3 linked regions of the Tamandua tetradactyla genome follow. The protein of the gene in region 1 interacts with the protein of each later gene in a biochemical or structural test. Links are inferred from orthologs where the notes say so. Each region holds a gene or a part of one and is shown on either strand. Other genes may lie near its edges.

Region 1 (7,135 bases):
TACAGAGTTCAATTCTTATTACCTGTTCAAAGAAGTCAGTTTTAAAAAAACATACTTGTTAATATTTAATTTCCAAATCGAATGAAGCCAAACTGTCTACTTCAGTCCTTTTCAGCTACCTTTCACTTAAGTTTACACTCACCCTGAAGTCATTCTTGGAAGTCACTTATGGTGGAGTTCCAATCACAGTCAGGAAAATAAAGCAACATACCTAAACTGCAATTTCTCTTGGGAAGTGGAGCTTATGTTTCACAGGAGGCCTTTTTTGGAGAACTGGGGCGGAGACTTATTTATGCATGATATACACATTTGGCCCAGCTTCAAAAGAACCACACTCGCAGTGTATGCCCCCTGGTCCCCCATTCTAGAAGAGCCAACAGTCTATTTCACGGTCAGTGACCCGCAGGCCTGAAACCACAGAAGGCACCAGCAGATCAAATGTTTCCGCTGCCCTCGCATGCTGCTTCCGTTCTTCTTCCATCCAGAGGAAACTCTCTGCCAAGTGTCAAAAAGGGACAGACACACCTTCTAGGTCACTTTCCCCAAGCCAGCCGGGAGAACACGGCTCCCAGTTTTCATCTAAGCCATTCTCTGACTCTATCCTCCAAAACGGACCTCAGCCAGGCTTACTGCTTTTCCACATCACTAATAAGATTCCTTTTATGGTGGTGTGAAAAGCAAGGGGCTCTGACTGGGAGGGCAAAAACACCTGCAACCCCTTCCTCCTAAATTCCAAATACACATCAGAGGGCAGTCAGTATTCAGTTTAACTCATAGCCAGATTTAAAAGTGGCGAGTCTTGTTAGCTTAAAAATTCTCCCTAATAGGGGATTAGCAAACAAGATAAGCACTCTTTGTAAAAACAAGTGCCACAACAGAAGCAGCCCCTCCAATCTGAGGACTCCATATACCACAGGTTTTTAGAAGCCCCTTTCCCCTTCAGTGGCACATTTTTGATAATGGTCTCATCTCACACAAGGCCGAGGACGTCACCAGCTCCTGCAACGTGAGCCCTAAAAGTCTCCCAGAGCTCAGACCCGACCTGGCACTCTATCCCTCGCCTTCCCACCTCCCCGGGTGGAGGATCACAGCCCGAGTCCACGACAGGAGGCAGCAGAGGGCATCCCCGCAGAGCACGTGGCGGAGAACATTCCTCCAGGCACCCAGTCCCCACCCCACCCCCCAGCTCAGGCTGGGCCAAGCCCAGGCCTGGCAATGAGTCACGCCTCCTGGACAGGAGAAGCCAGGCAAAGGGCACCCCCAACATTTCCCTTTCCTCCCCTTCTGTAATCGCACCCATCTTCCTTCCACCCATTTCAGATTTTGCAACGGCTTCGTGGCGGGGCACGTCAGCTGGGCCCGGGACTGGAGCGGCTCTGGGGGGCAGTGGAGAGGGGTGAGGGTCCCTGCACTTGCATTTGCAGTCACAGCCTCCGGCGAGCCGCCCCTTCCACTCCTTTTGGCACGCCCCCGAAGGCCTGCGGGACAGGGCGCCCGCTCGCACCCCCGCCCTTCCCCGGGAAGTTTGCGAACACAGCTGTTCCAGTGCTGGGGAATCGCTGGAAGTGAGGCCAAAAGAGTTGCACCGAGCGGGGGCGGGGGCAGGAAGGGGCCGGCAGGAGGCGGAGGCTCACCGCCCGACTGCCCGGGCAAGGGCCCCGAGGCCCCCCTTTGGCGGCCGCTCCCGGGCCCGTGCTCCAGGCCCAGAGCGCGCCCCCGCACACACCAAAAAACTCCGGGGGAGAAGCGGGAAACGGGTCTCCCCACCCGCTCCAGGAAGGACACACCCGCCCTCCCGGCGGCTCGCGGGAACGGGGAGAGTGCCAAATTGGACGGCGTTAGCAGGCCAGAACAGTTTTCCTTCCACCGCGCACCAGGTTTAATTGGTTAAGCAAAGAGACCACCTATAATGACCACCCCGAGGCTTGGGCGGTTACTCCACGGCCCTCAAGGTGCAAGTTTAAACCCGCATTCCTGGGACCTCTATTGATCCCCAAGCCCCACTGGGATCCCTACTTTTGCGAGTTTGGCAAACGGCAGGGGGTTGGGGCCCGCTCAGTCAGGTCCCGCCAAGATGTAACTATAGGGCCTCAGCTCCCTAACTCCCCGCTCCCAAAAGCCTTCCCCAGTTAGCGTCGAGTTTCAAGCCAAGGCCCTTTAAATTCCCTTCACCGGGGCACGCTGAACTCGACCTCGCAGGAGTGCGACCCTCGACCGGGCCTCCCCTCCCCGCGTCCGTCACTTACCGGCCAGGAGAAACTGAAAGGCAGCACGATGCGGTTGCGGCTGTTACCGCGGCTGACCTTAAGGTTGAAGGTGTTGCCCCCTATGACAGGCGTGGACCCTGAGCCGAAGCTGCAGGGGCCCCCGGCCGTGACGCGGGACTGGTACTCCTTGAGGCATACTTTGAAGTACGTGTTACACTCGTCGCGGGCGCACTTGCGGTCCGCGGGGTTGCGGGCGCCGCTGCAGCAGTTCCCGTTCTGCAGCTCCCCGTTCACGTTCTGCATGGACAGGATCTCCAACTCAAACTGACCAGAAGCCCCGCACACCTGCCGGCGAGGGAGGGAGGAAGGTAGGTCAGCGCGGAGGGAAGTAGTTTCCTTCGAGGGTGGAGGTGGCAACTCCCTCCCCGCCCGCCCGCTCGCTCGCTCGCTAGCTCTGGCGAGACTCAGCGCCAAGTGAAAATAATTTTGCAGAACTGGGTTCGAGGACGCGACGTGATTTAGAGGCACAAAATGCACGAGTGCGGGAGAAGCCTGACTGACTCCGCGGGGATCCAGGAGGAGAACAAACGCACCTCCTTTCAGCCTCAGTGGCCACGCTTAGGAGGCCCGGGGCTGCCAGGGAGAAAGCGGGCGCGCCCAGCCCAGGTGCAGCCACTCAGGCGCGGGGTACGGTCAGCCAGGCGTCCAAGGGTCGCCGAGCCCGCCGCCGGCGTCCTCAGCGCCGCGAGGGAAGGGAGAGGGTGGCAGAGGGAGGCCTGGCGACAGGGCAGGCGCGGCGGGCTCCTACCTTGGTTCGCAGGGCGCAGAGCAGGGCGAGCAGGAGGCTCAGGGGGCGCCCCGGCCGGCCGCGCGTCCGTGGGGACCGCATCGCTGCGCCGCGCGCCGCGGGCACTCGGGACGCCGACGCCGCCGCTGCTGCTCGCGCTGGTGCTCTCGCCGGTACTGCCGTCGCCGCTGCTCCTGCGGCCGCCGCGTCCCGGCTCTAATATACTCCGCCGATTGGAGCATGCACGACTGGCAAACAACACCACTTTTCAAAAGGCCTTTCAAGAGCGGCGGGTTCCAGAAGGCAGAGAGCCCGGCCTCCTTTTATTATTCCGATCGCTTCTTTGAGGCGCTCCCCCTCCTCTTCCACCTCCCGGCTTTCTTTCCCTCTCTCGCTCTCCCCTTCTTTTATTATTATGATTATGCGCAGCCTTTTATTCCTTTTCAGATCAGCTGCATGGAAAGGAGGTGGGAGGGGAGGGAAAAAAAAAAACCTGAGTCCTGCTCGCGGGCCGACCGCAGGTAACACAATGCCGCGCTCCCGCCCAGCTCTCAGAGAGGGACCCGGAGAGCCCGTCTGGGAGCCGCGGCCCGGGCTGGCCACCTCTACCCAGCGCCTGGGCAGGGCGCATGCGCCCTTATTAATATTCATGAGGGGCGGTCCCACTCAGGCCACGCCCTCTCCTCCCAGGGTGATGGGGAGGAGGGGCAGGGGCAGCTGGGAGGAACTTGGCTGGGGCTGGGTGTTCTGAGGCGCGCGGGGCGGTCTGATGTCTCGGGGCCCCGTGCAGACCCCCGCCCTCGGGAGCTCTGAGATTGGCGTGGCTGGTGGGGGAGGCGGGGTGGGCGTTCTTGAGTGGGGTGGGGGTTCAGAGGGAGGAACCTGGCAGGGGCCAGGGGCTCACGGACTTGGGGGCCACGTGGGCGCCTGGGGTTGCCGCGCGCGGCCTGTTTCCCTCGCACGCCCCAAGCTGGGTATCTCAGCCCACCCGTCGGGGTCCCAGGTGTAGGGGCCGTGGGGCTGCCTGAGCTGGGCAGCTTCCGCCTTCCGACCCGCCTGCGTCAGCTGCGGCTTTCGCCCGGGAGTAGCGCCTGCCCGCCGGGAGCCCGGCCCGCTTCCCGCGAGGAGCGAGCCGCCCAGAGCGCTCCGCTGGCGGCAGAGGCGGCGGCGAGGCTGGCGCGCTTGCCGCCGCCTGTTCGCCCGGCGGAGGCGACCTGGGCAGGCGCTGCTGGGAACTTTGAAAAACTTTCCCGGAGCCAGGCTTGCCGCAAATTCGAGGGGAAGCCTCGGCCGCGATCCCCCCTGTCCCCCCCCTCACCCCAATTCGAGTCTTGGAGTCTCTCTCGGAGGACTCCCAGCTTCCTTTCCAAACTGCGCCAGGGCGGGGCCGCGGGGAATCCGGGGCGAGTGGGTGGGGGCGGAGGGGGTCGGGCTCGCAGGGCCGGTAGTAGGCTTTGGGTGGCGGGCGGGCAGAGATACTGGTGGGCTCGAACGCGCACCCTCCTCGCCGCCTGGGCTGCAGTGACGGGATTGCACCTGTAGGCGGCCTCCGAGCAGCTTTCTGGGTGGCACGAGGCTGTATCTGGAAGGGGCCGTCTCGCCGCCGCCACCGCCACCGCCCAGCAGCAGAGCCTTGCCTTCTCTGGGGTGGCAGGGAAACTGATGGTATTTTCCACTTGGAGGCAAGCTCACACTTAACAGTGAGACCCAACAGTCATAGCCAAGGTCTGAGGAGACCCGCGAGCTGGCCGAAGCAATTACCAAGCACCCTTCCCAGCGGGCCTGCTTGCTGTGTCTGAGGAGACATCTTTAGGGAAAGATTGTCTCCCATTGAAGATCAAGCAGTTTTGGACCTTACTTTGAGTATGTCCTACGGAAAAGCACGACTATTCAGGGTTCAGTTTTGGGCTTGAACCCTCCGGGGCTGTGAAGGATGGTGGGCTGTAGTGGCTCAAAGGAAAATAGTTTCCAACGGGTTGAGCTGTAAGAGTGTAAAAGAGTAGATGCTTTGCGTTATTATCTACTTAAGCGCATTTGGTAGAAGGCTCAATATGGACAATATTTTCAGCGCCAGATCTCATCATGCTGGGGAATCAAATAAGGAGGCTCTTCTAAATTGATTCAAAGCCACCAAGGATGGATTAGGAATATGGGCATTTAAACAGTCCAAGAAAAGCTGCTAGGAAAGGTGCCTTCATGGTAATCTGTCCCGCTGTGATAATCATTGGTGAGTGAAGTTTTGGAAGGGCTACATCCAAGAGAACAAGTGTGTAATAGGTCATACTGGCAGCTGGGCAGGCAGTCTTTTCTCTTGAGTTGCCCCGGCACCCTTCCCACAATTATCTTAATTACAGTGCGTCCACTGGTCCTCTAATCCCATCTAGCCGTTCCTCACCACTTTCTCTGTAAACCAATATCCCTGTCTGGATCCCACCTCCTCCCTGCCTCCACTCCTAAATCTCCATAAATTGTGGTGCTAAGTAATGATCAAAAAGCAAAATGTTGGTGCAGAAAAAAAGCATAATTCCTGAAGACAATGCACAGAATTTGGGGATTTGGGGTTCGTCATGTTCCCACCTGTTTTGTCTCTTTGTCCTGCCCCCCACCCCATTCCACCCCCAGGAAGGAGGCTTTGGAGCCAGGCCTTGAAGAGTTTAGAATCTGTCACTTGGCTTTACCACAGAACACTCCCTAGGATTGCTGGTAAACCAGGGTTGCTTCCTGTCCATGGGTGAGTTTGGCCTCTGACTAGTAAGAAACAGCATAGATTTCTGAGGGGTTGCAACTCCCAAATTAACGCAAGAATGCCAAAGCAATCACTAATAAACAACACAAAACTCTCATGCCAAATAGCACAGTGCCCCCTCACCCTTCCTGAGCTTGGGAACTCACTCAGAAAACAGTTGTAGGTTAGAGGGAAATCTTTGAAAATTTTCAGTCAGGGCTCTTCCAATTAGTTGATAGTCCCCCCCCCCCCCCCAAAAGCCAGTAGTGTTTAATGCAATAGACAATGAGTGGAAATCCCTCATTCCCTCAAAAATGGGGACCTGCTGCCAAAAGAACTCAAATGTGGAGATTTCCCCTTGGCCAGGCTGTTTCCTGCCTTTGGACATAGCCTTCCAAGTGTAAACAAATGCCCCAAGAAAGTTCTGTGAAAATAATGCTATTTAGCTTTCACACCTGAGAGAAGGGGCAAGGCTTACAGTCAGTTACTGCCTGGCCTGTCTCCTGTGCTCAAATCATAGCCTTCCTTGGATATATTTTTTGCCTTTAATTTAAAAAAAATAATGCCTCGTTTTTCTTTTTTACTACAAAACTTGCCCCACCTTTCCTGAGTCATCAACAAACAGCAGCCCTGAACCCCCAACTGGCTTAATAAGAGAGAATCAAAGGGTGTTAGCTGTATTTAAATACTTGGTTAGTTGAATTCCCTATTAATCGACACTGATAAAAATCAGCTGAGAACCACTGTCAACACATAGTAACATGGATGATCTAAAAAAATATACTGAGTGAAAGAAGCCAGATACTAAAGACAGCATACTGTATGAATCCATGTATATGAAGTTCTAGAACAGTTAACATTAATCTATGACAAAAAATTTATAGGAAGTGATGGCTTAGGGGTTGGGAGGTGAAGAGTGCTTAAAAAGAGAGTTGTGATTCCTTCAGAAGGTGAGTAATGTTCTGGATCTTGACGAGGGGTCTGGCTGACACAGCTATATGCATCTGTCAAAATCATTAAATAGTACACTGGAGATGGGTGTATTTCATTATGTGTTCATGTAAGAAAAAGAATTTTAAATGCATTCCACTCGAGTTAATTATATGGGTGCTGAAACATTTAGGGGGAAGTGAAATGATATCTGCAACTTAGAAATGCCTTAAATACTAGAGGAAATGATGGGTGGATAGAGGGATGGCTGGATGGATAGATAAGCTAATGCAAGAAGACCCAGATAGGGGTATACTTGTATTCACTGTAAAATTCCTTCCAATTTCTGTATGTTTGAAATTTTTTCATTATAAAATGTTGGGGAAAATAGTGATTGAAGTCCTGTGTGTGCCGGGTATTGTGCAGGGTGCCAAGAATAAGATGGGCAATACCAAAATATTGAACTTAAGTTCTCTGGAATGGAAG
Region 2 (7,339 bases), on another chromosome or scaffold:
TGTATTGTAAGGCTTCTCTGAAGCATCCAAGCATATCCCACTGATTTAAACATTCTCTAAAGAACCTGAAGTGAGTAACTAGAATCCAGATGAACCAAAAATTGCTCCCTTATGCATAAGACGTCTAGAGGAGAGGCAGCAGAGTGGGAATTGGACAGAGAGATGTGAGGAGATGTGGCTAAAGATAATCTTTTCAGAAAAGTAAAAACATCATGAAAAAGAGATTAAACGCAATCATTCTCATCTCCCCAAAGATAATCATAAGATAGAAAGAATTTTTATAAGGAAATATGGAATAGGAAGAAAGAAAAGGAAAAGGAAAATAGCTTTAAGGTAGATTTCCTCTTCACCTGAAAGAAAAAGCAATTACTCTTGGTGATTTTTTTTAAAAGAAGAGAATTCAGTTCAAAAATTATGTAACAGGCGGCAAACCGAGGGAGTCACTTCCCATTGCAAGCAAAAGCAGAAAAGGAGCAAGAGGTGGTCCTGGATAACTGTTTAGACAATCAGACAGAAGGGCTGACAGCTCCCTGGCTTAGGAACTCAGTGATGTTTAAATTAACAACTGGCCACAAGCCAAACACAGGATCAGTGGAAAGGCTGGAAGGGTGCATTACCAGTGAGACCTTGGTAAAAACACGATGGCTTTGGATTGCAGATCCAAGAAGACTTCACCGCTAGAATCTGAGATTTAAGATCTGCACCAAGAAACAGCCTTTCATGTCTTCCATCACAGTAGTTTGGCAACTGAACTTATAATCAAAGAAGCCCTATGGGTCACATTAATCCTATTTCTGACATCAGTCTTATCACTGAACCCTTCATTTTGCAAATCACTTTACAATAGCATTTGTTATTTCCTATAACTCTCTAAAGTGGGTTAGGTTATTCCTTTAGTCCTATTTCATAGATGAAGACTCAACATGAAGCTTAAATGATTTATGAAAACCAGTTAATGGTAGGCCAAGGACTGTAACGCTTAGACTGGCCCACTGTCCACACTTCATCCTAAATCTACACTCGTTCAAAAGATTTCGCTCAGAGAAAAAGGAAAGGCAAAACACCATCATGTGCTTTTTATTAAACGCTTCAGAAAGTGCAGTTTTGATTCATGGTCACACAGCCTCCCAAGCCACGTCGGAAATTTTCAGGAACAGAGGAGTGTGGAGAATCTGGATCTTCCAAGAAGGACAGAATGTGAATAAGCCAACGCTACGTTTTCTCCTGGTAAATGATCCTGTTCTCTCTTAAAACATCTGTGATCAGAATATCCATTTCCTGGTAAGAATGAACAGACCCATTTTTTCTGAAGTTCATCATCTTCTTAACCTTTTCTTTGAAAAAAGACGTGGTTCGTGTATCAGTTTTCTGGTAAAGGTAAAATACCCCTCCAGATTAGGCTCAGGAAGGAGGCAGCTCAGTTCAACTGAACAAACAGGCACAAGACACCATCTCCTGGGAAGTGGGAGCACAGAGAGAATAAAACAGCCCCTGCTCTGAAAGGGCTTTCCAAACACCTTTTGAGTACCAGGGATTTTATATACATTCTCTTAATTAATCCTATTAGAGGGGTTAATTTCATTCCATTTTATTGGTGAGCTCATACAGCAGGGCCAGGTTTGAACCCTCGATTACAGAGCAAGGCTCCAAAGCCCACGCTCTTTCCATTAAAACAGTCTGAAAATTTTAGAATCTAAGATTGGGGGTGAGATGCATGAGATATGATTTGATTTCCTTTCCTTGGTCCAATTGGGTTAGAAAGGCTGCTCCAAGTATCCAACCGTAAAGAGGCTTTCTAAGGAGGCACTATGAATTAACCTATCCACTTTTCCTCGCCCGCCCCAGGTCCCCACCCCATCCTGCCAAATGAGCAGCAAATGTGCTGCCAGGTTGGAGGACTTGGCGAACGTCACACCACATTCCTGGGGCTGGACACAGACTCTGAAACAGCGGCCGGGCTCCGCGCCTCGGAAAGAATAATAGCAGTTGAGATTTTTAAATCATGTGCTCAGCATGCAGCCACACCAGTTTCCCCACTGCTCCTGCCACCACCTTTCAAAAACTCGAGCCAAACACACCCAACTCCTCGGGACCATCCGGTCGGAGTGTCAAAACCCAGGCGCCCTGAGGAACCCCGTCCCCATCCAGGCGGGACCCACACGCCCGGGCCGTGTGCCTGCCTCCCTTTGGCAAAGCAAAGCGTGGCCGCGAAGGTGCAAGCCTTGGGCTCGAGGCCCTGCCCCCGCTCTCCACACCGGAGTCCGGCATTCCTTCGCTCAGCGCCACCGCGGTCCGCCGCCGCCGACCCTTCGCCTGGGTCAGCCCGCCCTCGGCTCTCCCCAGACCCCAAGAAACGCGGAACCAAAAGGGCCAGACTGCCCAATTCCCCGAACTCGAGTCCTCGGAAACCGGGGTTTCTGAGACGGGCTGGCTGGCCGGCCTCCGTCCGGCTAAGGAGACGCGCGTGGGTCAGTGGGCGGCGGCCCGGAGCGCGGGGGAGGGGGCGCGCCGAGGGAGGGGCCCGACGATGCCCAAACTTTCGGGAACCCAGTGGCCTCCCTCCGCGCCGGCGGCCGAGCCCACAGAAACGAGGACGGAAGAGGGGGGACGCGCGCCCCAGGTGGCCCGGGCCGGGGTGGGGGCGGCGGTGCGCGGCCCCGGGCGCAGGGGACAGCGCCCCTCCGCGCGATACTCACCGCGCGCGGGGCCCGGGCGACACAGCCCGAGCGCCAGCAGCGCCCACAGCGGAGCGGGGCGCAGGGTGGGCATCTTCTCGGTCGCCGCCGCCGCCGCTGCCGCCTGGGCAGAGCCACATGGGGAGGGGGTCCCGACAGAGGAGCCCCCGCTTTCCCCTCCTCGCCTCCTCCTGCGGCGGCTCGCCCCGAAACTCAGGCTTAGATGCCTCGACTCCTTGCACCGCCACCCCGCCACCGCCTCCGCCGCCGCCCGAAGTTTGGCTGAAACTTTCTCGGCTGTGCAACGAAGCCGCCTCGTGTGTCCTTCCGCCTCGGCCGCCTCCTCCCACCGCCAAGCCCCGCCCCGCTGCCGCCCGGCCTCGGCCCCGCCGCCTTCGCACCCAGGGGTTTCCCGCAGGAAGAAGCGCCGGCCCGAGCTGCGCGCGGAAGGATCTGCTGCGAGCCGCCGCCGCCCCGCCGCCCTCGCCCCCTCCCCGCGGCGCCATCCTTCCCCGCCCGGGGTCGCGCTGGGACCCGCCTTCGCGCGGTCGGAGCTAGACGGCGTCGCGGGGCCATGCGGAGGGCCAGGGGGGTGCGTGTTAGGGCTGTGACCTGCAGATACCACGGCTGCCGAGATCTTGAACTTGCAGAGGGACAGACCTCACCCGTCGAGACGGGCATGATGCCCACACCCCTGCTAGCTCGAAGGAACGCCGTAGAGAAGGACCACTGTTGTCAGAGAAGGACTTGCAGACTAAGGCGCCAAAGTCCATGCAGAATGAGCAGAGCCGTCGGCTGGGTTGTGTTGCACCATTCATTCATTTGGCAAATACTACTTGAGCACCTTACTTCTCCTGTCAGTGTGCTAGTCTCAACGAAATGATACTAAAGACTCTGGATGCTCAAGCTACTGTAGGGTCCAGAAGGCAGAAACTGCTGGGAGCCGAGGGCTTCAGGGAAGGCTCAGATGGAAAAGCTGCAATGAGACCAAAATCTTGAAAGCTTACTAAAATGTGGATAGGACAAGGAGACAAGCTAAGGATACTGGTTGCAACATTGTTTCTAATAGTCCAAACTTGGAAACAACATAAATGCCCACCAATACAGTAATGAATAATTAATATAGGATATACTTAAATTGAAATGCAAGTCAGCTATGGAAGGCTATTCATTTATGTCGGGGGGATAAATCCTAAAAACAAAATGATAGGGAAAGTCTAATTGCAAGAGACATAAACTATAATGCCACTTATGTATATTTAATCCCCCCGAACAATGCCATATATTATTTATGAATTCATGCATATATAGTAAAAGAATATAACCCAGTGGTGTTTCCTTCCAGCACAGAAGAGTGAAGGTGTGACCATGCAGGAAAACAAATAGGTTTGCCATACAAAATAAAAGAGCTGAAATAAATGATAAAAGTTATAGTGGGGTAGCATCCCAGGGGAAGGCCACCATAAAAACAAAGGCACAGAGAAGGGAATAAGTGAGATGTGTTCTGGCTCTGTTAGCAGAGAGAGGAATTAGAGAGAGGAGGGTTGGGACTAGATTGTGTAAGACCTTGAGCGAGAAGCTGAGAAAGAGAAATAAGGGTCTTATCTCTCAAGCCGTGGAGAACCACTGAAGGTTTTTGAACAGGGATGAGACTAGATGTAAAGGAAGGTTGCTCTGATACTCATGTGCGAAACTGACTGTAGGGAGAAAGAGGTGAACTTGAGCCCCAGGACCGGTAGGGAGATTGTCAGACAGTGTATGGGTGAGGTGATGAAGGTCTTAATAATGAAGCGGAAGTTACAGTGGAAGGCGAGCGATGGATCTGAAGTTGGCTTTACAGAAAGGGGGGAGGCGGAGAAGGAAACGGTGGGGGTGGGGGTGAGGTGGTGCAAACCTGTATGACTAATTGCATTAGGGAGTTTACAATCCAGTTGAATGAGAAATCCTACCCACAGAACCTCTCCCTGGCTCCTGTGAGATAAAGTCCAAGCTCCTAAAAATCCAAGCTCCTAAAAATGCTACACACAACGCCTTTCTCTCACTGACCCCCTGCTTAGTCTCCAGCCTCCTTTCCTCCTCCATGCCCCATTTTGAGCTTGATACAATGACAGTATTGAACAACGTGAGATTCCCCAAGCATACCTTGCTGTTCTAGTCTCTGTACCTTCTGTTCCCTTGGTTTGGAAACACTCTTCTAGCCCCTCCCTCCTCCACGTGGTAAACTTCTAATCATCATTCATCCTTCAATCCTGAGCAGGTTTTGCCAATATTGTAACAAATTCCTGCCCCTCACAGACAATACGTCCTGTGTACTGCTTCTTTATCTTACACCGACATCTCTTTTTCACACAGGACTGTTTGTATGTCTGTCCTCAACTGGATTAGGACATCCTTTTGGGCAAGGACCGTGGCCATATACTTCTGTGCATGCCGCGCCCTCTGTCTATCACATAGTAGCTGTCAATCTAAGAATGTAGATCAACACTAAACAAGTGCAAATCATGTGAACAATAGGCCAGAACTTATTTTAACAAGCACTTTCTAACAGATAAGCAAATACGATAGCTGAAAGTAATCACCTTGAAAGGATAGAAACACTTCAAAAATGACATAATTAGTCAAAACAGTTTTGGACTTTCTCATGTGCAATTGTGTTCATAGTTTTTTTACTTTTTGACCCAAATCGAGGTATTCCTCAGCTTGATCATCCTCTTTACTCAATAGATATTGTTCATAGTTTCTTGGCTCTATAGAAGTTTTGAAAATCACCTGCAAAAATTGAAGATGTCACTATAAAAATAGACTCAGAAGAATGTACTCGGAAGGTAATCATCCCCAAAGAGCAGCTCCAGAAATGACTAAATAGGTGTACAATTTCTCAAGGTGACTTTTTAAAAAAGCAGTGCTTTTTTCATGTATAATTTTGCTAGATTTGTTAAAATGTTATGTTCCTGTAAGGACAAGAGAAATGAAGGGTAAATGTTTATGAATGGAAGTTGAAATAAAGGCTGCAACTGAAGAGATGTTTTGAAAGACAGATTTTGTGGGAAGTTATGGGCATAACTGTTAAAAACAAAAAATGTGAGGAGCTTAAAATCAAGAGAAGAAACTGGAATCTGCAAAGACCAAGAGATGAGAAGAAATAAGTCCAACCCATCAACTAGCATTTTAATGATCATCTACCATGGGTCAGACGCTGTGCTAGGGGTTGAGGATACAGCTTAAGGAGAGACAGACAAGTAAGCCAACAATGAGTGTGGCAAGTACAGAGTGTTTGGGTTCACAGCGGAGAGGTGGTGAATCCTAAGCCAGCCTAGAGGTGGGCGTAGAAGGCTTCTGCGAGGAACCCAACAGCAGGACTGAGAGATAAGGGACCAAAGGGTTCATTTAACCAGGCAAAAAATAAAGAAAAAAAAGAGATTTCACATGTGTAGAGGTTTAGGGGTGTTCCAGACCCAAGGAATAGCAAATGTAGAGGCAGGTAAACAAAAGAGACCAGAGCCTGTTCCCTAACTTTAAGAAAATAAGAATTTAAGCAGGGGCTGTGAGGATAGAGTGACTGCTTAGGTGAAAGACTGAAGGTAGATCAAGGAATCAGCAATGAACACAGTGCCTTGAGACATGACGGGGCTGTTTCTAGATATGGGGAATATTGGAGAAGGAAGAGGAGATTTGGTGAAGATAAGTAGGCAAGAGATCAGTCTAACTGGAAGAGGGAGAACTGTCTTCAGGAGTAAAAGCAATAGGTTTTGAATACTTTAAGGAGAACTGGGCGAGACCTGACTAAGAAGATGGAGTTGCACTGAAATATGCCTTCTGCTATTGGACTCTTCTCAAAGCTAAGCCTAAATCCCATAGTGTACTTTTAGTTGAATATTTTCCTAATACATTAAAAATCAAGGGGACTTGTGGTGTTGTCTCACAATTGGAGTAGCTGCTGACATGAAATTCCAGGATCTTTCTGGGAATATCAACCCCAAATGTACTCAGCAATTTAATTACTCAACTGGATTGTGAATGATCTTCCTTAAGGACAATACTTCTAGTCAAAGCAAATCCTACTTTATAGGAGAAATTGGCAGGAAAACGTTCAAGTGATCCCATAACTAATCATAGCCATCACTCATCCTTGAAGTTCTCTGCATAGCTTCACTCGTGCAGAGAAAGATGGGATCCCACAAAATTTCATTGGGAAAAAAAAGGGGATCTCAGTCTCCAGAGCCAAATAAAAATCTACAGACCATTATCAGTAGAAAACCATGGACAAGGGCCCCCACTGGTTTTAATTTTAATCAAAACTAAAACTATACTTATGTCTTTACACATAAAATTCACATTTAAAATCGTCTCCCCAAACCAAAGTAGAAATGCATTTATTTGTGGTCATGTCTGTTCTTCTCAGACAAATAGGCTGTAAAACTCCTCGAGGGCAAAAATCTTCCTTATCCATTTTCACCCAGTTTCTAGCACAGTGGAGCACATACGTCCTCAATGTATACATTTTAAATAAATGTTGAACGAAGAAAACATATGTCTGTATAAACTGGGGATATACGGTGTCTTGAAAAATTGGTGGAAAGTCTAGATGTCTTGGAGAATGCCAGGCTAAGTCAGTTGGATGCTATAGATGCTGAAGAAGAGATTTGGGGGCATATCAAGCACAG
Region 3 (7,339 bases), on another chromosome or scaffold:
GGAAACAAGATTTAGGGCAGCAAGCATCGGTGGCGGCGGCGAGGCTTCTGCTGGGGGAGAAAAAGGCCCCAAAAAGCAAAAAAAAAAAAAAAAAAGTAGTGTGCATTCATTAGAGACGGACAAAGGGGCACTGCTCCAGGCCTGCTTAATTGGCTTGAGTTCAAGGAGGGTGGGGGGCCGAAGGGGGTGGAGGTAGCACGCCAACAGGCTGGGCAGCCAGAGCGGGGCAGAGCCCGAGCAGGGGGCTGGGGACTGGCCGGGGTAAGGGGCCCCTCGACAGTTGGAACGAGGGCAGTCGGCTCAGCCAAGAGCCACTTCTTCATGGGCAGTCTCCCGAGGCAGGGAGGAAGGGACTTTTTCCTGCAGCCACCAAGATCTGCTCGTCCTTCTCATCAGGGAAGAACTCAAGTTGAAGGGCACTGGCCCAGAGCAGACACTTGGCCGAGGCCGAACGGCTGTCACAGACAGTGCCCTTCTGAACAGATTTCCTATGGGCGTCAGGATGGGGCTGCAGACTGCACTGCACCTGTGCCCAATCTGCAGCCGGGGAAACCGAGGCCAGGGTGGGGGCCGGCGGGCCTCGGCAATGGGGAGGTGGGAGTCAAAGGGAAGGCAGACGCCAAAGGGAAGGCAGACTCCCCCCACCCCACCCCCGTGCCGGGAGAAAGGGAGGCCAAGGGGCTCGAGCCCTCTCCCCAGCCTCACCCTGAAGCGAGGAAGGAATGAACTTGGAGAGGCAGACAGCCCAGCCAGTTGGGTTTGGTTTTGAAATAGTCAATATCCTGATGAGAGGCTCACCTGCACAGGAGGCGCTCACCTGCCCAGAGGAGGCACCACCTGCCCCAAGGAGGTGCTCTCCAGGTAAAAGGCGGTGGGAACTGGGCCCCCCTGTCACTGGCCCTGAGCCCCGGGGCAGGCCCACTGGAGACTTCAGGAAGAAACAGGGTGCAGGAGATTCCCACTGAGAGCCCCGGTAAGCCTGCCTCGAAACGGGAGTGCTGGAACCCAGCGGCCAGACCTGCTTCAGCTCCTGCTTCGAATGCAGCATAATTACTGGTGATTAAGTAATTGCCAGACTTTGTCCAATAAAAGTCAGCACGTGACCACGCCCAGCCTTCTGGGCCATCTCCGCAAGACAATGGGCCAGTGTTCTGTCCCCAGCGCCACAGCGGGCAGGGGCTCCCGCTCCCGACTAAGCAACAGGTCCCGCGGGGCGCATACTCACACACAGGCCTCCGTGCCGTTGGCCAACACTTCACACTTGCCGCCGTTCAGGCAGGACTCCCCGGGCTGGGAACAGCGCAGGCCTGGGGAGAGGTAGAGACGAGAGGTCAGCGTGGCCTGCGCCTTGAGTCCCAGGCCCTCCCCTCCCCAAGCCACCCACCTCTGGAGACCGACAGACAGCCCACCCTGACATCGGGGTCAGGGAACATCGGGACTGCCCCTCCACCCACCCACTACAGGAAATTCAAGGGCTTCAGCACTCAGCCCAGTGAGCTGGATGGGGAAATGGGGAAGGGGGCAGGTTGGCAGGTGGATGGGGTGGTGCCCGGCGTGGGGGAGACCACCTGGGCTGCTGCGGAGTAGAGCCGAGATAACCTAGGGACATTCTCCCAAACTTTGTGTGCCCCCCCCACCCCATTCTTCATCAGGCAGCCCCGCCGGCTTGGGCAGGGGGCCCACACTCAGCCATTGCCATTGGCTCGCTGTTCAAACACCCTGGCGAGGGGGGCAGTGGGCCAGGGGACGGCCAAACTCAGCTCCCTGCTCGTGGGAAAATGCGACAGCTGCGGAGCCCCGCCCGCCAACAAAGCCCCGGCCGCAGAATCAGAGCAGCTCATTGTCGGGTTGGGCCGCCTCCTGGGGCCTGGGGGACTGCACCCGCAGCCCCCAACCCCAGACCTGGCCCCGCCTTTCGGACACCCAATACCTGCTCCGGCAGGAGGGCCATCTCCAGGGGCTGCCCCCGAACACACCCAGGGAGTGGGGTGAACAGCCCCCGTTTGGAAAAGAATTCAACGCCACTTCTGGGAAGGGACCAATCAATGAAGCCCCTCCCTCCGCATCTTAGCAGGACAGGGTAAGAGGAGTCCCTCTGTTGGGGCAGCAGCCGCAAAGACATGGAACTCTGCTTTCTGGAAGAAGAAAACTCTTGCCTCCAGCTTTTTGAGAAAGAGAGGAATTAACCCGCACTAGATTCCCGGGAGGAAGGGAGAGGAATTAGTGCCCCCTCCACCGACCCCCCCTCTCAAAATCCCCAAATGTGAACTCTACAAAGCGAAAACCAGTCCTATCCTGGAGCAGCTGAGGCTCTGCACACCCACCGCCCCTCACCCTCACCCTCACCCTTCACCGAGAAGTTTGTGAGCAGGGCCGGGGGTGGTCATGGGGTGGGGGGGTGGGGGGACTGATGGAGCCAAGGGAGTGAGTGTACCCCGCAGCCCCGCGGCGGCCCTGCGCCGGCTTTCCTAAAGGGTCAGGAAGCCGATTCGGCGGCGAGGGTTTGCCAAAGTGAACGCAGAGCCCCGGACCCCGCACTCCGCGCGGGAAGGTGGAGAAGAAAGAAGATAAATGGCCCGGAGGAGCAACAGGAAACCGAGCCCGACTCGATTCAAATCGAAAAGTCGTAGGCAGCCCGCCCGCCCCGGCTGCGAGACCCACGCGTAGCTGGTTTAGGACGCGACCAAGGGCCCGGGCCCCTGGCCCGCCACACCCGGCTTCAAAGCCGGCTTCAAACCTGGTTCCAAAGCCGGCTCCAGGCGCAGTCCCCAGGGTCAGAGAGCGCGGGTCCTCCCCGATCGGGAGGGGGGTGATGTTCGCCTCTCTCCCGTGCCCAGAACTCCCGATCCCTCACCCCCACCGTCCCCCTCCCGGGTACCCCGCTGCTTCGAGCCTCCCAGTACCCTCCTCCGCAGCCCGGAGCGCGGACTCGGGTAGCCGCCAAAGTTTGCAAGGGCGCTGCAAGTCGTGGGGCCCCGTGGCGCGGACGCTCACCTCGTGCGGTGAGTGCGGGCAGCAGCGCCAGGCAGAGCAGCGGCGCCAGGGGCGGCATGCCTGCCCGCCGGCTGCCCGCTGCGCCCGGGGCGGCCTCCTGCGCGGGGCCGGCCGGGCTGGGGCGCACTCTGACTCCGGAGGGTCCCACGGGCGGCTCCTCCTCTCCTTCCCGGCCGGCGGGAGGGCGTTGCGATCCCGCGGTCTCCCAGCTGCCGGATCGGCTCTCCGCCGGGCCCTCCGCTTTCCGGCGCCCCGCGCCCCGCACCCCGCGGCCCTGCGCTCCCTCCCGCAGCCGAGGCACTAGTGAGGCGCGGGGCGGCCGTGCACTCCGCCCCCGACGCGCGCCACGCCCCCGGCCCCGCCTCGGGGCCCCGCCCCGCCAATCCTTCCGCGCCCGCGCCCCTTGCGCCCGGGACGGGCCCCGCGCCCACTCGGGCTGGACACGCCGGAGGGAACCAGGGTCTCCCAGGCTGAAACAGGGCGCCAGGGCGTCCGGAGGGAGGTCGGGCTAGCGCTGGGACTACTTCTCGTTCGAAAGTTTCCCGAGGCCCAAAGTTTGGCCCCGGGCCGCGGAAGGATCCCTTCTGGTGGCGTCCTCTCTGGGTGCCAATTGAGACATTTGCATCTCAATGGCAGGGGAGGCGCGGGAGCCGTTCCCGGAGAGGCGCTGGGTTCGGGACCAGAGGCGGCCGAGGCCAAGTTTGGGAGATCCCGGGACCGAGGCTCGGAGAGGAGTCGCGCCCTCCGCGTCCGTGGGTGCGCGCGGAACCGCGTGGCTCCTTTCGCGGGTGCCCAAGGGCAGCGGCTTTAAACCCTGGGGGACCGGGCACCGACACCAGACGTCCTGGTAGTAAAGACCGTACCACCTGACCCTGAACGAAGGTGGTGCCGCGCCCTGGGCCTCTGTGGTGAAGATTTTGGGCGCCTCGAGGGAAGAGCCCAGGGCCACTGCCTTGCGGCGTGGAGAGTGCATCTGCTCGCCCAAGCAGGGCCCCGCTGAACTCAATGCTCCTTCGTCACTGCCCTCAAACTGTCCCCGCCACCCCCTGCCTCAGGTGGCCCCGGAAACCCCGCCAGGGCCGCGCAGACCCAGCGCCGGCGCCAACTCGGCCCCTCCCACGTGCTCCTTCCGGGCGGGTTCCTTCTCCTAGGGCATCCTGTGCCAAGCCCGTTTGAGCACTAGGCGTCCAGGATGCCGGCATAACCAAAGTTCAAGAACGAGTGCCACGGACAGGCAGCCGCCCACCACCCCATCACGACACAGGGGGTGAGTGCAATGGCTGGAGGCGCAGCAACCCAGCCCTGGCCCTGGCTTCCTTTCTGGAGGAAACGAGGCCCCAGCTGAGGCTAAAGGCCGAGCGGGAACTGGCCCGGCCGAGCACGATGAACACCAGACGCCGCGGGACCGCAGAAATCCCGGAGGCTTCCGGAGGAGGCGGCCCTTGCTTGGAGAGGCGCCTGGTGGTGCGGCATTTCACCGCTGCTCAGGGCACACCTGTTGCCGGACAGTGGCAGCAGCTGACACCCTGCCCCAAGTACCCCGGGCAGCCATCCCAGGCCCTGGCAGCTGCTGAGGGAAGCCTTCCTTGCTGCCTCCTTCCAGGAGGTGGCTGCACTCTCAGGGCGCCTGGTAACTTCCCCGGGGCAGTGCCCCGGAGAGGAGGAGCCTGGAGGCAGCTGGAATGTTTATATCACAGCAGCCCGACTGCTGGGCAGCCTGGTACAGATTTTCCCCTAGAAGGAAGAACAGTGCTGCACAGACCCCTTTCCTGTCCCCTACCCCCCATTCACAGGCTCAGGACTCTGGGCACACATTGCTCACCCCATCCCTGCCACTCCACCCAGAGAGCCCCAGGCCGAAAGGCAAAGCACCTCCAGCCCTGGCTTTGAAGTGAGTTCTCTCCCATCTGAAGTCTGGCTATGGCTGGGAGCAGGGGAGCACTGGACCAGAGTCCCTCTCTGGTGTGAGCCCAGGTGTACCCACAGCCCCTTCCTTCTGGGCCTCACCAGCCGGAAGAGAACAGACACTTGATGCTCACCAGGGATAAAGCTGAGTGCACAGGTTACTCGGCTGCCAGGGCTCTGTGGTCCCCTGGGGGGTTCCCAAAGACAGCTGGGGGTGGGGGCATCCCAGGAAAGGGAGAAGTGCAAGTGCCTGAAGCTGGAGAGGGAATATAGCCAAGGTAGATGGGGGGTGGGGTTCCCCTCTGGGCCTGGGAAGGGGGTGGGCCTGGCCCTGACAAGTGGATGTTAAGCTTTTTTATTCACAAATGAGGCCAGAGAATTCTGGCCTCCCTGGTCCTGGTCCCTCCTTATCCAGGGGTCTTGGGTGGCGTGGGGAATGGGGATCCTGACCAAGCTGGGGTAAGGCCAGGACAGCCTGTTGAAACTTCTCCAACAGGGCAGGCAGCCCGAGGAAGCCCCGGGGAGCGGGTTTTGGGGGGCTAAGGATAAACCCAGCACAGCTTGGCCGCTCCAGAACCCCGTGGGGGGACATTGGTGGGTCTGCAAGAGGCTAAACGGGGGCTGCAACCCCTCCAGATCATGAAGCGGCTTCCATGGTGGGAGTCAGGACAAGGTTCCCAGGGACACCCCCTGGACAGACCCCGAGTGACTGGAGTCCTAGAACCTGTGGGGGGTGGAAGGGAGGGGAAGCCATGGGGTCTGGGTGCAGAGGGATGCCTGGGGTGTCTGGCAGCCACCCTCTTCTACAGGCCCCCCAGATACAGGGCTGCTGCCTTCAGGCTGAGCTGGGGAGGCCCTGCTGACCTTGGGCCATTCCTGTCCCCCAAAGCACACCCCATCCCTGTCCCCCATGCCATCCACAAGTCCTTCTGAGGTCAGAATACATCCCAAGGTAAATAAAGAGGCATTTCTGGAGCGACTGCTGTATACTCAGCCCGGATTCAGCAACCTTAACTCAGACCAAACTGGCTCTAGCCTGGTTTGCGGGTGGGGGGTGGGGGTGCCAGTGGTATCAGAAGCTTCCCAGGAAATTCCAAGGTGCAGCCAGGGCTGAGAAAAAAGGGTAAGGCCCCTTTTCTTTCACTAGGAGCCTAGGGGGCAGCCCTGGAAGGGGGAGGAGGCATGTGTCTCCCCATTTCTCATCTCAGGTGAGGAAGCCGAGGCTCAGTGCCTTCTCAGGGCTGGCCAGGCCCAGTTCTTCAGCAGCATCCGACCGCTAGGGCAGGGGCCCCTGAAGGCTGCAGTGGGCTGTGTGCACTGATAACGCTTCTGGGGACACCTGTCCTCTGGCTCACATTGTTCGATTTAGGGCACAGGAAAGTACGGCCTGAGGCTGGGGAACTGGCCTGACCTTCGGGGTTGGAGCTAGCTCCAAGGGTATGGGGGAATTCCAGAATACTAAAGGGTGGGAGCCCTCTGTCTTTTTAAGTTGATGGTAAAAGACTCTGTGACGTGCTTGCAAAGCTGGAGCCAGAGCACTGGGCTCTATTCTGGATACCACTGCTGACCAGCTGGCCAACCCTAGGCACTTTTGACCCCTGGGCCTCAGTTTCCCTGTCTATCGAATGCCTTCTAAAGTCCTGGCTGCCTTTTTCCACTTTGAAACCACCTCAAGCGTTTCCCTGAGGGCCGGCTGTCACAGAATAAGTTGCTTCTGGTGGCCGTGGGGCATTAATGCAGAGGGATGGGTCACGACTCAGCACCCAGTCCACCTCTGCCAGACCCTGGACGGCAAGGCTTGTCGCCGTGCAAGGAGGGCATGATGGTGGGTGTCGGCCAGCTCCTCTCTGCTGCTTCCTGAGGGTGGGTTCGTACCAGTAGGGGATCAGGCCACCTAGGAGGGCTTCTCCCGCCTTCTGAGAGTGGAGAGGGGTCAGACTGGGCCTTGGTTTTGATTCCCTGTCCCCTCCCCCTCTCCTATGTAGAGGCCCACTCAGCCCAGTTGCCCACCCACCACATGTCCTTAGAGGACCCCACAGTGCTGGAGGAGGCCCCTGGGGCTCTGCACCCACCAGGGCAGGCTGGATTCCGTCTGTCCCCTCTCTCTTGCCTCCAAGCTTGGCATAACTGGTGTCCTCCACCTGAAATGAGCCCCCCCCGTTTGTCCCTGCCTGACTCCTCAAAGGTGTGAGCCCCTGAAAGCAGGGCAGGGCCGGGCTGGTGTCTGCCTGGTCCCCAGCACCCACCATGGATGCTTCCGGAAGGTTTGTTCACCGACCAGATGACTGACGGACAGCCCGCAGGAAGAGGACACAGGGTCCGAGACCCTGGTCTCCCCGTGCAAGTCCACCAAGCAAGCGGGGCCCTAACTCCTGGCTGGCCAGCCCATACCCTCCATGGACCCTGCACCATGGCCCAGAAGGCTCCCTGGGTGCAGACA

Evidence for each region.
Region 2: the proteins of JAG1 (region 1) and NOTCH2 form a complex in vitro, tested with the Homo sapiens proteins (2 studies listed by BioGRID). The link is inferred for Tamandua tetradactyla from reciprocal best matches to the Homo sapiens genes JAG1 and NOTCH2.
Region 3: the proteins of JAG1 (region 1) and NOTCH1 form a complex in vitro, tested with the Homo sapiens proteins (3 studies listed by BioGRID and IntAct, with this or other methods). The link is inferred for Tamandua tetradactyla from reciprocal best matches to the Homo sapiens genes JAG1 and NOTCH1.

The regions. Positions count from the first base shown.
Region 1 is NC_135327.1:50,133,400-50,140,534, reverse strand, and holds the start of JAG1 (protein jagged-1), read right to left. Parts: upstream 3,097-7,135; coding exon 3,016-3,096; intron 2,553-3,015; coding exon 2,247-2,552; intron 1-2,246. UniProt on the Homo sapiens protein: Ligand for multiple Notch receptors and involved in the mediation of Notch signaling. May be involved in cell-fate decisions during hematopoiesis. Seems to be involved in early and late stages of mammalian cardiovascular development.
Region 2 is NC_135337.1:641,622-648,960, reverse strand, and holds the start of NOTCH2 (neurogenic locus notch homolog protein 2), read right to left. Parts: upstream 3,012-7,339; 5' UTR 2,770-3,011; coding exon 2,697-2,769; intron 1-2,696. UniProt on the Homo sapiens protein: Functions as a receptor for membrane-bound ligands Jagged-1 (JAG1), Jagged-2 (JAG2) and Delta-1 (DLL1) to regulate cell-fate determination.
Region 3 is NC_135328.1:126,089,884-126,097,222, forward strand, and holds the start of NOTCH1 (neurogenic locus notch homolog protein 1), read right to left. Parts: upstream 3,060-7,339; 5' UTR 3,053-3,059; coding exon 2,995-3,052; intron 1,308-2,994; coding exon 1,226-1,307; intron 1-1,225. UniProt on the Homo sapiens protein: Functions as a receptor for membrane-bound ligands Jagged-1 (JAG1), Jagged-2 (JAG2) and Delta-1 (DLL1) to regulate cell-fate determination.